Mus musculus: one gene and its partners. The protein of the gene in region 3 purifies or fractionates together with the protein of the main gene of each other region. This does not show direct contact. Links are inferred from orthologs where the notes say so. Each region holds a gene or a part of one and is shown on either strand. Other genes may lie near its edges.

Evidence for each region.
Region 1: the proteins of Cnot10 (region 3) and Tnks1bp1 purify together in Homo sapiens (affinity purification with mass spectrometry; 4 studies listed by BioGRID and IntAct, with this or other methods). This does not show direct contact. The link is inferred for Mus musculus from reciprocal best matches to the Homo sapiens genes CNOT10 and TNKS1BP1.
Region 2: the proteins of Cnot10 (region 3) and Capzb purify together in Homo sapiens (co-immunoprecipitation; 3 studies listed by BioGRID and IntAct, with this or other methods). This does not show direct contact. The link is inferred for Mus musculus from reciprocal best matches to the Homo sapiens genes CNOT10 and CAPZB.

The regions. Positions count from the first base shown.
Region 1 is NC_000068.7:85,070,480-85,073,670, forward strand, and holds the end of Tnks1bp1 (182 kDa tankyrase-1-binding protein), read left to right. Parts: intron 1-127; coding exon 128-278; intron 279-393; coding exon 394-530; intron 531-1,226; coding exon 1,227-1,384; intron 1,385-1,616; coding exon 1,617-1,677; 3' UTR 1,678-1,689; intron 1,690-2,117; 3' UTR 2,118-2,569; downstream 2,570-3,191.
Region 2 is NC_000070.6:139,191,675-139,195,809, reverse strand, and holds the start of Capzb (F-actin-capping protein subunit beta), read right to left. Parts: upstream 2,912-4,135; 5' UTR 2,785-2,911; coding exon 2,782-2,784; intron 1,810-2,781; exon of another isoform or gene 1,681-1,809; coding exon of another isoform or gene 1,591-1,680; intron 1-1,590. UniProt on the Homo sapiens protein: F-actin-capping proteins bind in a Ca(2+)-independent manner to the fast growing ends of actin filaments (barbed end) thereby blocking the exchange of subunits at these ends.
Region 3 is NC_000075.6:114,616,081-114,619,726, forward strand, and holds part of Cnot10 (CCR4-NOT transcription complex subunit 10), read right to left. Parts: intron 3,293-3,646; coding exon 3,143-3,292; intron 1,915-3,142; coding exon 1,712-1,914; intron 1-1,711. UniProt on the Homo sapiens protein: Component of the CCR4-NOT complex which is one of the major cellular mRNA deadenylases and is linked to various cellular processes including bulk mRNA degradation, miRNA-mediated repression, translational repression during translational initiation and general transcription regulation.

The DNA of each region.
Region 1 (3,191 bases), on a different chromosome or scaffold from region 3:
GTATCTCATGGCAACAAGAAACTGCAGCAGCCATCAATCAGCTCCTGGTTTATGTTGAGATGCTCCTCTGGGGTGATGTAGGGCTCCGGGTCAGCAATAGCAATGCTGTTGCTATTGTTTTGAGCAGGACACTGAGATCCTTGATAGTGCCATGTATCGGAGTCGTGCCAACCTAGGACGTAAGCGGGGGCACCGGGCCCCAGCCATCCGGCCTGGGGGTACCCTGGGACTGTCAGAGACAGCAGACTCGGATACTCGGCTGTTCCAAGATTCAACCGGTACGATCAGTGTGTTAATTGAATGGAGTCTGTGTCAGTGTCTGGCTTGTGTGTGGGTAAGGGTGGTGTCTGGCATGTTGCTCAGGTCTCGATTCACGTTCCCTAACGTTTGCAGAGCCAAGGGCCTCCCGGGTGCCATCTTCAGATGAGGAGGTTGTAGAGGAGCCTCAGAGCCGCCGGACACGGATGTCCTTGGGCACTAAAGGGCTGAAAGTCAACCTCTTTCCTGGCCTGAGCCCATCAGCCTTGAAGGTACCGTCTGATCATTCAGCACACACACCCAGCCATCTGGCCTGCCAGCCTTCTACCCAGCATTTCCAACCAACCAGCCATCCATACAGCCATGCACCTTATAGTCCCTTTTCTCATCTCTACTCTCATTGTGGGTTCTGGAAGGTTACCTTGTTCCTTGCTCGACTCTATGCAGTGTGCCAAGTTTGATGGAAGAAAGAACAGGGTGTTCTTTCATCTCAGGGCCTCCAGGGTAATGGGTGGGGGTTGAAGGGTGGGCATAGTCTACACCCAGGAGTAGCTTAGGTGAAGGGCGAAATGTAGGAATAAAGGGGGGAGTACAGCCATGGCCTGGCCTGTTCAGTAGAAGGAGTTACTTCCTGACCGTGGCTGGGAACGGGAGGTGGCTTGGGTAGGGTTTCTTGTAAGCAGTTTCTCCTAACCTTGAGGTAGGCACAGGAGTTGGCTCTGCGGTAGGAACAGACAAGTAAAAACATAGGTGTGAGAAGTCACCCCTCTTTGTTCAGCCTTGTTCACTGAATTTTGTTCATCTGTCATCTTTCTGATGTGTTCAGGCTGTGAGGATCTGCTCTGAGGGAGACAGATCTTTGGCTGTCTGTAGAAGGTTCAGGCCTGGCTCAGGGGACTGCACACTCTTGGGAAAGGCCTGGTCTTCTGAATCTTGCTGCCTGTTTATATTTCATCTGTGTCTCCTAGGCCAAGCTACGCTCCCGGAACCGCTCAGCTGAGGAGGGGGAGGTGACAGAGAGCAAATCAAGCCAGAAAGAGTCTTCCGTCCAGCGTTCTAAGTCCTGCAAGGTCCCAGGGCTAGGGAAGCCCCTTACATTACCCCCAAAGCCAGAAAAATCCTCAGGGTAAGTAACACTTCTAGGTACTTTTTTTATTTCCTGTGGTTCGGGTATTATCCTCAGAAGAGGAAACCTATTTTATAGAGGTGGAAAACTGAAATTAATTGCTTCATGTTACGTAGGGGCACCCAGACCTGCAACTGAACCCGACTGCCTCTTTTGATTGGAGGGTAGCTGTTCTCACCTTGTTCAGTTTCTTTAAACTTTGCTTTTGTGACCTTTGTACTCTGCCTTCCAGGTCAGAAGGATCGTCGCCCAACTGGCTGCAAGCCCTGAAGCTAAAAAAGAAAAAGATCTGATCAGGGGCCAAGGTGAGGCTGTGCTTCTGGGCTTGGGGGAGAGTAGCGCCTGGTATGGAGAACTTGGGAGGCCCTGTCCTGTGCTCTCTTCTAGCCCTTAGGTCCCCTCTTTCTGTGAGAGGTTGGAGGAGACAAGGGAGACCTGGTTAGGTCCCTTGGCTCCTCTAAGTTTATTCCCAAGGCTGGTGTTTATCCTGGCTCTGAAGAGGGGGAGGGGCTTCCATACCGGCCTGTATCCTATGTGTTGGACAGTCTTTCAGGTGCTGTGGTTGCCCCTATGTGTTGAGCTAGACTGTGCAGCTTAGAGCTTCTAACCTGAGGTCCTAGCAGGGACCTCCTCAGCACTGGGCTCTCATGAGGGAATCAGGATGTCCAGAGGGCAGAGGAAGCAGGGGCCTCATCTCTTCTCTGACCTTTGTCCTCTATTCCACCCAATGCAGGTCCTTCCCATCTGGCAGTCTCAGGCAGTGCCATTCCTGTGGGGTCCCCAAGTGAGGAGACAGCTGGAGCCCCACCAGGGCTCAGACTGCAGCCTCCTTTCCCCTCCACTTCTGAGGAGTGTCTGGGAGGCACATTTATGCACTTTGTATCACCGTCCCAACTTCTTGCACCCCTTCAGCCCCCAACTGGATTCCCGTGCCCAGTGGTGGGAGGTCTTGTCCTTCCCTCAGTCTCTTCCCTTTACCCTCTTTGCTTCCATCTTCTGCCTCCCTTGGGTTTTCTTTTGATACCAATTTATAGCATTTTTATAAAAGCCTTTGATTTTTGTAATGGGTGGGCTCCCACCCCAAGCCCCACCCCAGGTCTCCCTCTGCCCCACTAGGTGCCCCACAGAGACCAATGACATTTTACCACTTGAAACAATGAATAAAGTTTTTTGGGAATTGGGGTTGTCCAGGATTGTGGTGTGTGTGTGTGTGTGTGTGTGTGTGTGTGTGTGTGTGTGTGTGTGACTCGTATTCCCCCACTGTGGGGCAGCATTTGGAGAATGCTACTTCCCCGCTGTGTGAGCTTAGCTTTTCCTCCCTGTGACAAACTATTTAAACACCTCAATGGAAGAACGACATGGCTTCACTCCATCAGGGCTGGGGGTGGGGTGTAGGGGTTAGAGGGCAGGCTAGAACAGAGCAGAGACAATATGGTATCTGGGAAGCAGAGAAACCTTTCGTTTTGGGGCTAGTGGGTTTCTTCTTGCTTTTATTCTACCTGCTCCTCAGGCTGTTGGGTAGTATCGGGGACATTCAGGCTGAATCTTCCCTTTCTGGAAATGCCTCCTTAGACCACAGAGATGTGTGCTGCTAACCTAGGCTCGTCTTGGTCCAATGGACTTAGCAAGCATACTCCAGCTGCCAGGAACTCACTCAGATGTCTGTTAGACACGTCACTCCCCTTCCATTCTCTGAGCCTAGTGTCTCTGCAGGAGGGTATTCCAATTTAAACACCACTACCCCATCTCAGTAGTTTGACACAAAAATATTTATTTCTTGTTTATGGTACAGCCCTGTATGAGTTGG
Region 2 (4,135 bases), on a different chromosome or scaffold from region 3:
GAGCCCTGTCAGGGCTTTGACACTGTGAAGCACTTAAGGACAGTAGTAAGACTGTCTGCTAAGGGGATGTAAATAAACCCCATTTGCCTAAGCACTTTTACTGGGGACAGTTAACTTGACTCCAAGAAAAATCACTCCAAAGTCAAATGCACTTCAAATCTCTCCCCCTGATGGGTACACTGGAGCTGGCTAGCCATTTGCTCTACCAGCCAACCCACTGAAAACAGAGCTATGGTCCTCTTCATTCATTACCTAGGATGCAGCCCCACTCTGCCACTTCTGGTTTGCCCAAACTACCCACATTAGGGCATCAGATTATACTAGCATAGTAGGCAGTCAGAAAACATTTAGGAGGTTGGGGTACATGAAGAACAAGTTAACGAGTGTCAAACCTGGGTGGCTGCGCTCACAGACCATCCCAGATCACACTAAGCAATCTCCTGTCTCACCCTCACTGTTGCCCAAGCTGGCCTTGAATGCCTTAAACAGCTGAGACTGCAGGTATGTGGCACCACGCCCAGCCTTCCACGACAGATCTTTCAGAGTTAGGTACTGTTCTAGGACCAGATAGACAGGGGCAGAAAACACAAGACCAACATCTCTGTCCCCTAAGAGCTCGGGGATCAGGCCCATAGGCTATGCTCCTGTCTCAAAATGGCCATTTCCTAACAGGAGAGCCACCCAGAGTCTGCAGAGGTAAGCACTTGCTCTCCCTGGCTGGGCCTGAGCATCCATCCCATCATTATGGTTCTTCAACAGTGTCATTATATCAGACACACAACAGCAGACAAGGAAGACCGCAGTCTGGAGGCTGCTAGGCAGGCTCCCACTGGCCAAGAGTGCTCTCCACACAGATGCAACAACATTTTGAATGAGTTACAATGAATGCCCCAGCTTTTCTTCACCTGTCAGATGGACAAAGCGAAAGCCTAGATGATTCTGTGGAGACTAAGTCCCATCTGGCCACTCCACCACCCTCTCCTGCTTTGGTGCTGGGAGTACACACAGAAAACTTCAGTCTACTTTGAAGAATCTCACCCAAAACTGTCCTGGACAAGTCCTTTCCCCCTGCAGACTAAGGTCAGGGGTTCAGACCCCCAGGCCCGTTTCCAGCCAAGAGCAATAACATGAAAACCTGTCTTGCCTATGCTTTTAATCAATATATAGAAAGTTTACTAGCCAATCAGACTTAGTCATCCCCAATACAGTTGCTGCACCCTTGCTAAAACAAGGCACAGGGTACCTCAAAACCATCTAGGGTCCAAAATCCCCTCCTAAATATCGACCAGGCAGGAGGGGAGCCACCTGTAAGGCTACACGGAGCAGGTGGGTTGCCTTCCCTCTCAGCCTACCTTACAAGGCTTCCTTGACCATGTGAGGTAGTTCTCTGGCCCTTCCACCACCAAAGATGGTGGGCCTGCTCTGCAGGTATCCAGGTAGATTAGGGGGTGCAGGGGTATGGGGGAGGAGGGAAGTGACACATCTAAGGCTCCTCAAATAAGTTGCTAGCATAGTGTGCCTGTCTTCATTACCAAAACAAACACCATGAGTGGAGTCCGGGAGCTCTCCGGCCTGTGAGTTTCTGCTCACCTGCTCCGAGGCACCTCCATAATCAGCAGTCCCAACTCTAACAAGCTGACAGTTCAGGGGGAAAGGAAGGCTGCGCCTGCTAGGATGCATCGTGTCCAGGCCGTAGGTTGGGCTGCTGAGCTCCGTGTCCCCCTAGCCCCAGGGCTGCGGCCTCACAAGAGCAATTGTGAGTTCACCCCTGTCCAGTTGGCTTACCAACCCGTCAGCACTCTGCTCCCCACTCAGGCAGGGCACCCCTCAAGACGCGCTCTATTAGCCGCACTACCACTAGGCCCTCCCAAGGGAAATGCCCTGTTCTGCCTTCCGGGCATACAGATGCCGCCCTTCTCTCCCTCGCTCGCCTGCTCACTCACACCGAAGCGGCCTCCCCAGAAAGGGGCAAACCTAGGAAAGGCTCAGTACCCAGACCACCCCCACCCTGGCTGGGGCTCTCCCCCGCTCGCCAGAGGCTGCCCAGAAAGAGCCTCCTAGGAACAGGAGAGGGGACACCTGGGTCAGGAGCAGGACACGGAACAAGCAGGGTCTAGATGGGAGGGTGAGAGCAGCGAAGGGCTGACGCAGGCTAGGCTAAGTCGTGAGAAGTCGGGGGAAGGGGACGGCTAGGGCCGGGGACAGGGAGGTGCAGGGAGGGGGGGAACACAGCTGGAGTAGAGAGGCCACACTTGAGGACCGACCGCAGAGAGAAGATTCCATGACGGTGAAGGAAACAAACCTAGGCAGAGTTCACTGGAAAGGGCTTATCGGGGTGCAGACTGGGGCCATGGAGAGGAGAAGAGTTTGGGGGAAGGGGACCTAGACTGGACCACTGGAGCGAGAACCACGGTCCTAGCCTGGGCCCTGGGGCCGAGGCAGGAGCCCAAGTACAGCCCATGGGATGAAGGCCTGCGAGAGGGGTGCCCGGCCTGGCCCCTGAAGGAAGGAAGGTCTAGCCTGGGATAGGCGAGACTAGCCTGGACTTGCAGGGAGAAGAACTGGGCTCCACATGGAGCCCAGGGCGGGGTCATAGGCTATCAGGGCCTCCCGCCGCCCACTCCGGACCCGAAGAGTGGCGTCTGCCTAGGGTCCGGGACCCCGCCCCTCCCCCACCCCGGATCCCCACCCTTCCCGGGCCGGGCGGGTCGGCGAAGGAGTGGACGCGAGCTCCGGCGGTGAGAGGGGTCCCGGGATGGAGCCGTGAAGGGGTCCCTTTACCATGGTGGCGGCGGCGGCGACGGTCCCTGTCCCGGCGTCTGTGGCTCTCCCCCCCGCAGCAGGGCCCTGCGCTTCCACTTCCCCGGGTGCCCAAGAGTGAACATCCGGGTCAGCGCCCCCCTCCCCCCCCCACCCCCCCGCGCCGGGCAGCCACCACCTTCCTTCCCCGCCCCGGCCAGCCCGACCCGCCCCCCAGCCGCCAGCTCCCGACCAATGAGAGCGCGGGGCCGCAGCGATCGCCAAGTATGGAGCGCCGCGCGGGGGGCGGGGACGGGGGCAGGCCCTGTGGTCGAGTGGGCGTGTCCTGTCTCAGGAGGGGCGGGCCAGGCGCAACGCTCCTGCGCGGCCAGGGCTGTGGCGTTCCGGAGGGACTGGGTCTACTTGCGTCCCTCCTCTGACTGTCAGCCTCGCTTCTCGCAGCTGCAGGACGCGGGCTAGCTGAGGGTGGAGCGGTTCACTGGTTCCCCTGGGCGGAGGATGCGGAAGGCGCCGAAACTAGGAGGGGACCGGCCCTCCGCAACCCACCCGGACCCGGAACTGGTGCGCCGGACGAGGCCCGGCCCCTACAGAGCGAGCGGAACCTGCATGGGGAAGCCGGCTCTGCCGCCCCTGTTGCTGAACACCTGCTATCAGGACCAGGCGGGCAGCTTTTAGGTACCAAAAGATGACAAGTGAATAAGCCATAAGGATCCCTGCCTGCACTTCATAGCTACCAGAGTAGTTGTGGGAAAGACCCGGGTAAGAAGACTAGAACATTTGGGTTCAATAAATGCTGTTTCATATACTTTTTTACATTATGTACAGAGAATCAGCCCGTTTCCCTAAATGAGTATCTCTCTCGAATCATATAGTGACTCAGAAATCCCTCTTTGTTTTCAGGTCTGAAGATTGAACGTAGAGCCTCAGGCAGGCTAGGCTAAGCTCTTCCACTTAACTGCAGCCCCAACCAGAAATTTGCTGTTCAAAAGAGTGAATTTTGTTTTGTTATCTAGAACTCAGGAGCCCTAGAATTGCACGTTTTGTTTATAACAACCCCCTACACGGCTTGCTCACCCTCCGTTTAGAGTCATATCAGGTCCTGAGAAGAGATCAGAAAACATCTGAGGGGAAACTGTGCCCTAGGCCTCTGAGCTTATAGTCAAGTGAAAGCTTGCAGGGACAGCCACCAGCAAAGAAAGCGTCCAGGTAAGTCTCTCAAGAATGACATAGACCAATATTACAGGAGTTCAGAGAAGGGAGTGGCACTTAGAAGGTCATTACACCGGAAGTATTTATCATGTAGCTATTGGCCAAGCACTGTGTAGGAAGCAGGCTGGAGAAATTACAGCTTTGAGCAAAATAGCCCATGATGGCA
Region 3 (3,646 bases):
AGATTTATTTATTTATTATATGTAAGTACACTGTAGCTGTCTTCAGACACACCAGAAGAGGGAGTCAGATCTTGTTACAGATGGTTGTGAGCCACCATGTGGTTGCTGGGATTTGAACTCTGGACCTTCGGAAGAGCAGTCGGGTGCTCTTACCCACTGAGCCATCTCACCAGCCCCTGCCTGAAGCCTTTTGTAAAAACTTTTTTAAAAACTAAAGTACAGAGGCTGGAAAGATGGCTCAGCGGTTAAGAGCACTGACTGCTCTTCCGAAGGTCCTGAGTTCAAATCCTAGCACCACATAGTGGCTCACAACCATCAGTAATGAGATCTGATCCCCTCTTTGGAGGTGTCTGAAGACAGCTACGGTATACGTAATATAATAAATAAATTTTAAAAAACAAACAAACAAAACCCCCCTGAAGTACAGAAGAGCTGGCTCAGTCGTTTAGAGCACTCGCTGCTCTTGCAGAGGAATCCCAGTGTTTCCAGCAACCCACACAGCAACTCAAGTTTCAGGGGCTCTGATGACCTTTTCTGGCCTCTGCAGGCTGCGCACGAATGTGGTGAGCACATACACAAGCAGGGAAAACACACTATCCATAAAAATAAATCTTAACAAGGAAAACCCCAAGCATAGAGCTAAAGAAGCAGCTCAGAGGGTGAGTACGTTCCTGTTATGAACAAGGCTCTGAGTTTGAACCAGCACTCGTCCATATGTGTGCATGCCTGCCCTGGCTCTCTCCTCTCCCTCCCCCTTCTAACTTTCAATACATCATCAAAGTCTTCCGAGAGCATTAGTCCCCTCTCTGCTGCATTCACGTCAACTTCTGAAACCCTGGATGTGAAACTGCCCCGCACAGGCTTCTTCTAAACCCTTGGCTCTTTCACCTGCTGCTCATCAGAAAATGCTGCTCAATAATGAGCCTCAGTATCCTTCGTAGCCTATGTCAGACAAGTGTGCCGGGCAAGCCTTAGGAAGCCAACTGCTCCACCCCTCACAAACCAAGGGAAGAGAGGTGAGGGGAACTCAGACACCTGGTAATTCTTATTTCACCCAATTCACACCGACCCCGCTCAGCCAGAGACTCAGGAGGCTGCTACCGACCGAGAGAGAACAGCTCAGGGCAGCCCAGTTTCAGACACTGAGGACCGGTGTGTCCGAGAAGATGCATGACTGTCACGTGCCTCACTGGAGGGAGTGCTGTTTAATGCACTCCTGTGCACACTCCATCAGAGCCAGGTGCTCTGACCCCTGGGACAGAGCCCACCCTCCTGCTTACAGACGGCACAGCGCAGCCCTAGCAGGAGCCACCACGCCTCACTGTTCTGACACAGACTCCTCACTGGCATCAACCTTTGCCAAGAATTACAGCTAAGCAAGTGACTGTGAGCAGAAGACTTACATTCAGTGGCAGTGAAAATGGAAATGAGGTCTTAGATTCCCAGGTTTTTTTTTTTTAAGTTATTTATTTATTATATGTGAGTACACTATAGCTGTCTTCAGAAACACCAGAAGGGGGCGTCAGATCTCATTACGAATGGTTTCAGACACCATGTGATTGCTGGGATTTGAACTCTGGACTTTCAGAAGAGCAGTCAGTGCTCTTGACCGCTGAGTCATCTCTCCAGTCCCAAGTATCTTCTGCTTTCCATGTACCAAGTGTAGAAGAGGAGAAACAGAGACTCAAAGAGCTACTCAAGCAGCACTCACCCCTTTATTGGCAGCAATGCAGCACTCAGCCAGCCGTAGCCAGAGACGAGGATTCGCGTGGTACACCTGAACAGCTTCAATCAGACACTCGAAGGCAGCGAGAGGCCTCCCGACGTGCAGCAGCTGGATCCCACAGTTGTAGAGCAGCTCATATCTTTTGTTGGTCAGCAATGTACACATGGGTCTTCCAGAAAACTTTTTGCCTTGTGATAAAATGTGGAGAATAGACAAGTAAACACTTCCATATTTAGTACCAGTGACTCCAATGTGACACTGTAATGGTTCTCTCTGAGGTGGTTTCTCCATGCCTAGCTCCCCAAGTACTTGACACTCATGTCAGATGTCTGTACTAGGAAGGACACAAATGCCCAGGATTGGGCCAGCTCTTCTGGCAGTGTTGCTTCAGGGAGGCAAAGAGCTGAGTGAGTCACTGGCTTTCTGAACTACAGCACCTTGCCCTCCTTCAGACCGCTTGGCCACTTTGTTACCATATGCTACACTTTCTCAGTGACTCAGAGTCTACAAGACTACCACTTGCCATTTAAAATACATTTTTCATCACTTAAATAGGTGTTTATGGTTTTAAAAATTACAAAGATGCTTGATTTTAAATTCTGATCAAAGATCCATATAATCTGAACGTAAATGACAAACTTCAGCAAGTTTCTTTAAGGCTTTTTTTTTAAGATTTATTTATTTGTTTATTTGTTTGTTTATTTTATGTGAGTACACTGTTACTGTCTTCAGACACACCAGAAGAGGGCATCTGATCCCATTACAGATGGTTGTGAGCCACCATGTGGTTGCTGGGAACTGAACTCAGGACCTCTGGAAGAGCAGTCAGTGCTCTCAACCACTGAGCCATCTCTCCAGCCAGCTTTAAGGCTCTGAGATGCCACCAAAACATCACTTGTGAAGTTCTGCCAACAATTTATAATATTAGCCCACAGTCAAGAAATCCTAATGACTAATCAGAACTGGATGGCATACCACTCAGGACTACTGATTCAAGTCCATAACAAACTGAGGGTAATGTAATGTTTTGGTCTTTTCTTTTTTTCTGCTATGTCTATGTGTTTTCGTGTGTGTGTGTGTGTGTGTGTGTGTGTGTGTGTGTACACATGTGGAAGCCCAAGCTTGAGGTCGAGAATCTTCGTCAGTCATCCTTCTGTCTTATTCTTGCAGGCAGGACCTTTTCATTAAGCTGCAGCTTCCCGAATGAGCTGGTCAGCTTGCTCCAGGACCTCTCACCTCTGCTCTCTGAGGCCGGAATTACTCTCCCACTGGATGACTGCTATTCCTTTGATTAGGACATCTTGTCTCATCCTCCAAGCCCTGAATGTATCACCCACGCCCAGATCCCTCCCCGACACTTGCTATTTCAACCACGTGTGTCAAGGAGGACACTGCAGGTCCCCAGTGCTTGTTCACCTGGATCAGTGCCACCCGCACTGAGCTGGGCGCAGACGTTGTCATTTTCCTGCAGAGCCTTCTTGAAGTAGAAAATCCCCAAATTGTGCTTGCTCATGGCAAAATGGATACAACCAAGGTTATTCCAGAACATGCATCTCAAGCATTCACCTGGAAACAACACAAACTACTTTACACACATAATCTGTTTTTTGCAGTCTCTCAAGTAGACAGCAGACCTAGTTGCTGTCAGTTAGCTAACCTATTTGGAAAGTCAGTTAGTCCCCACAGGACAGTTCATGAGGCACAGGGCAAAGCTGAGTGAAACCCTGTTTTGATGGATTTCTAAAACAACCCTGATACTTTTTTATTGATCTTATTCTTTTTAACGAGTGATAAAACACAGTAACTTAATATATATGCCACACATCCACAGTGAAATCCTGTGCAAACTGTAAACCGTGAAGCACCTAAACATGGGAGCTAGAGTTCAGCTCAATGGTAGAGCTGGCTTAATATGTACAA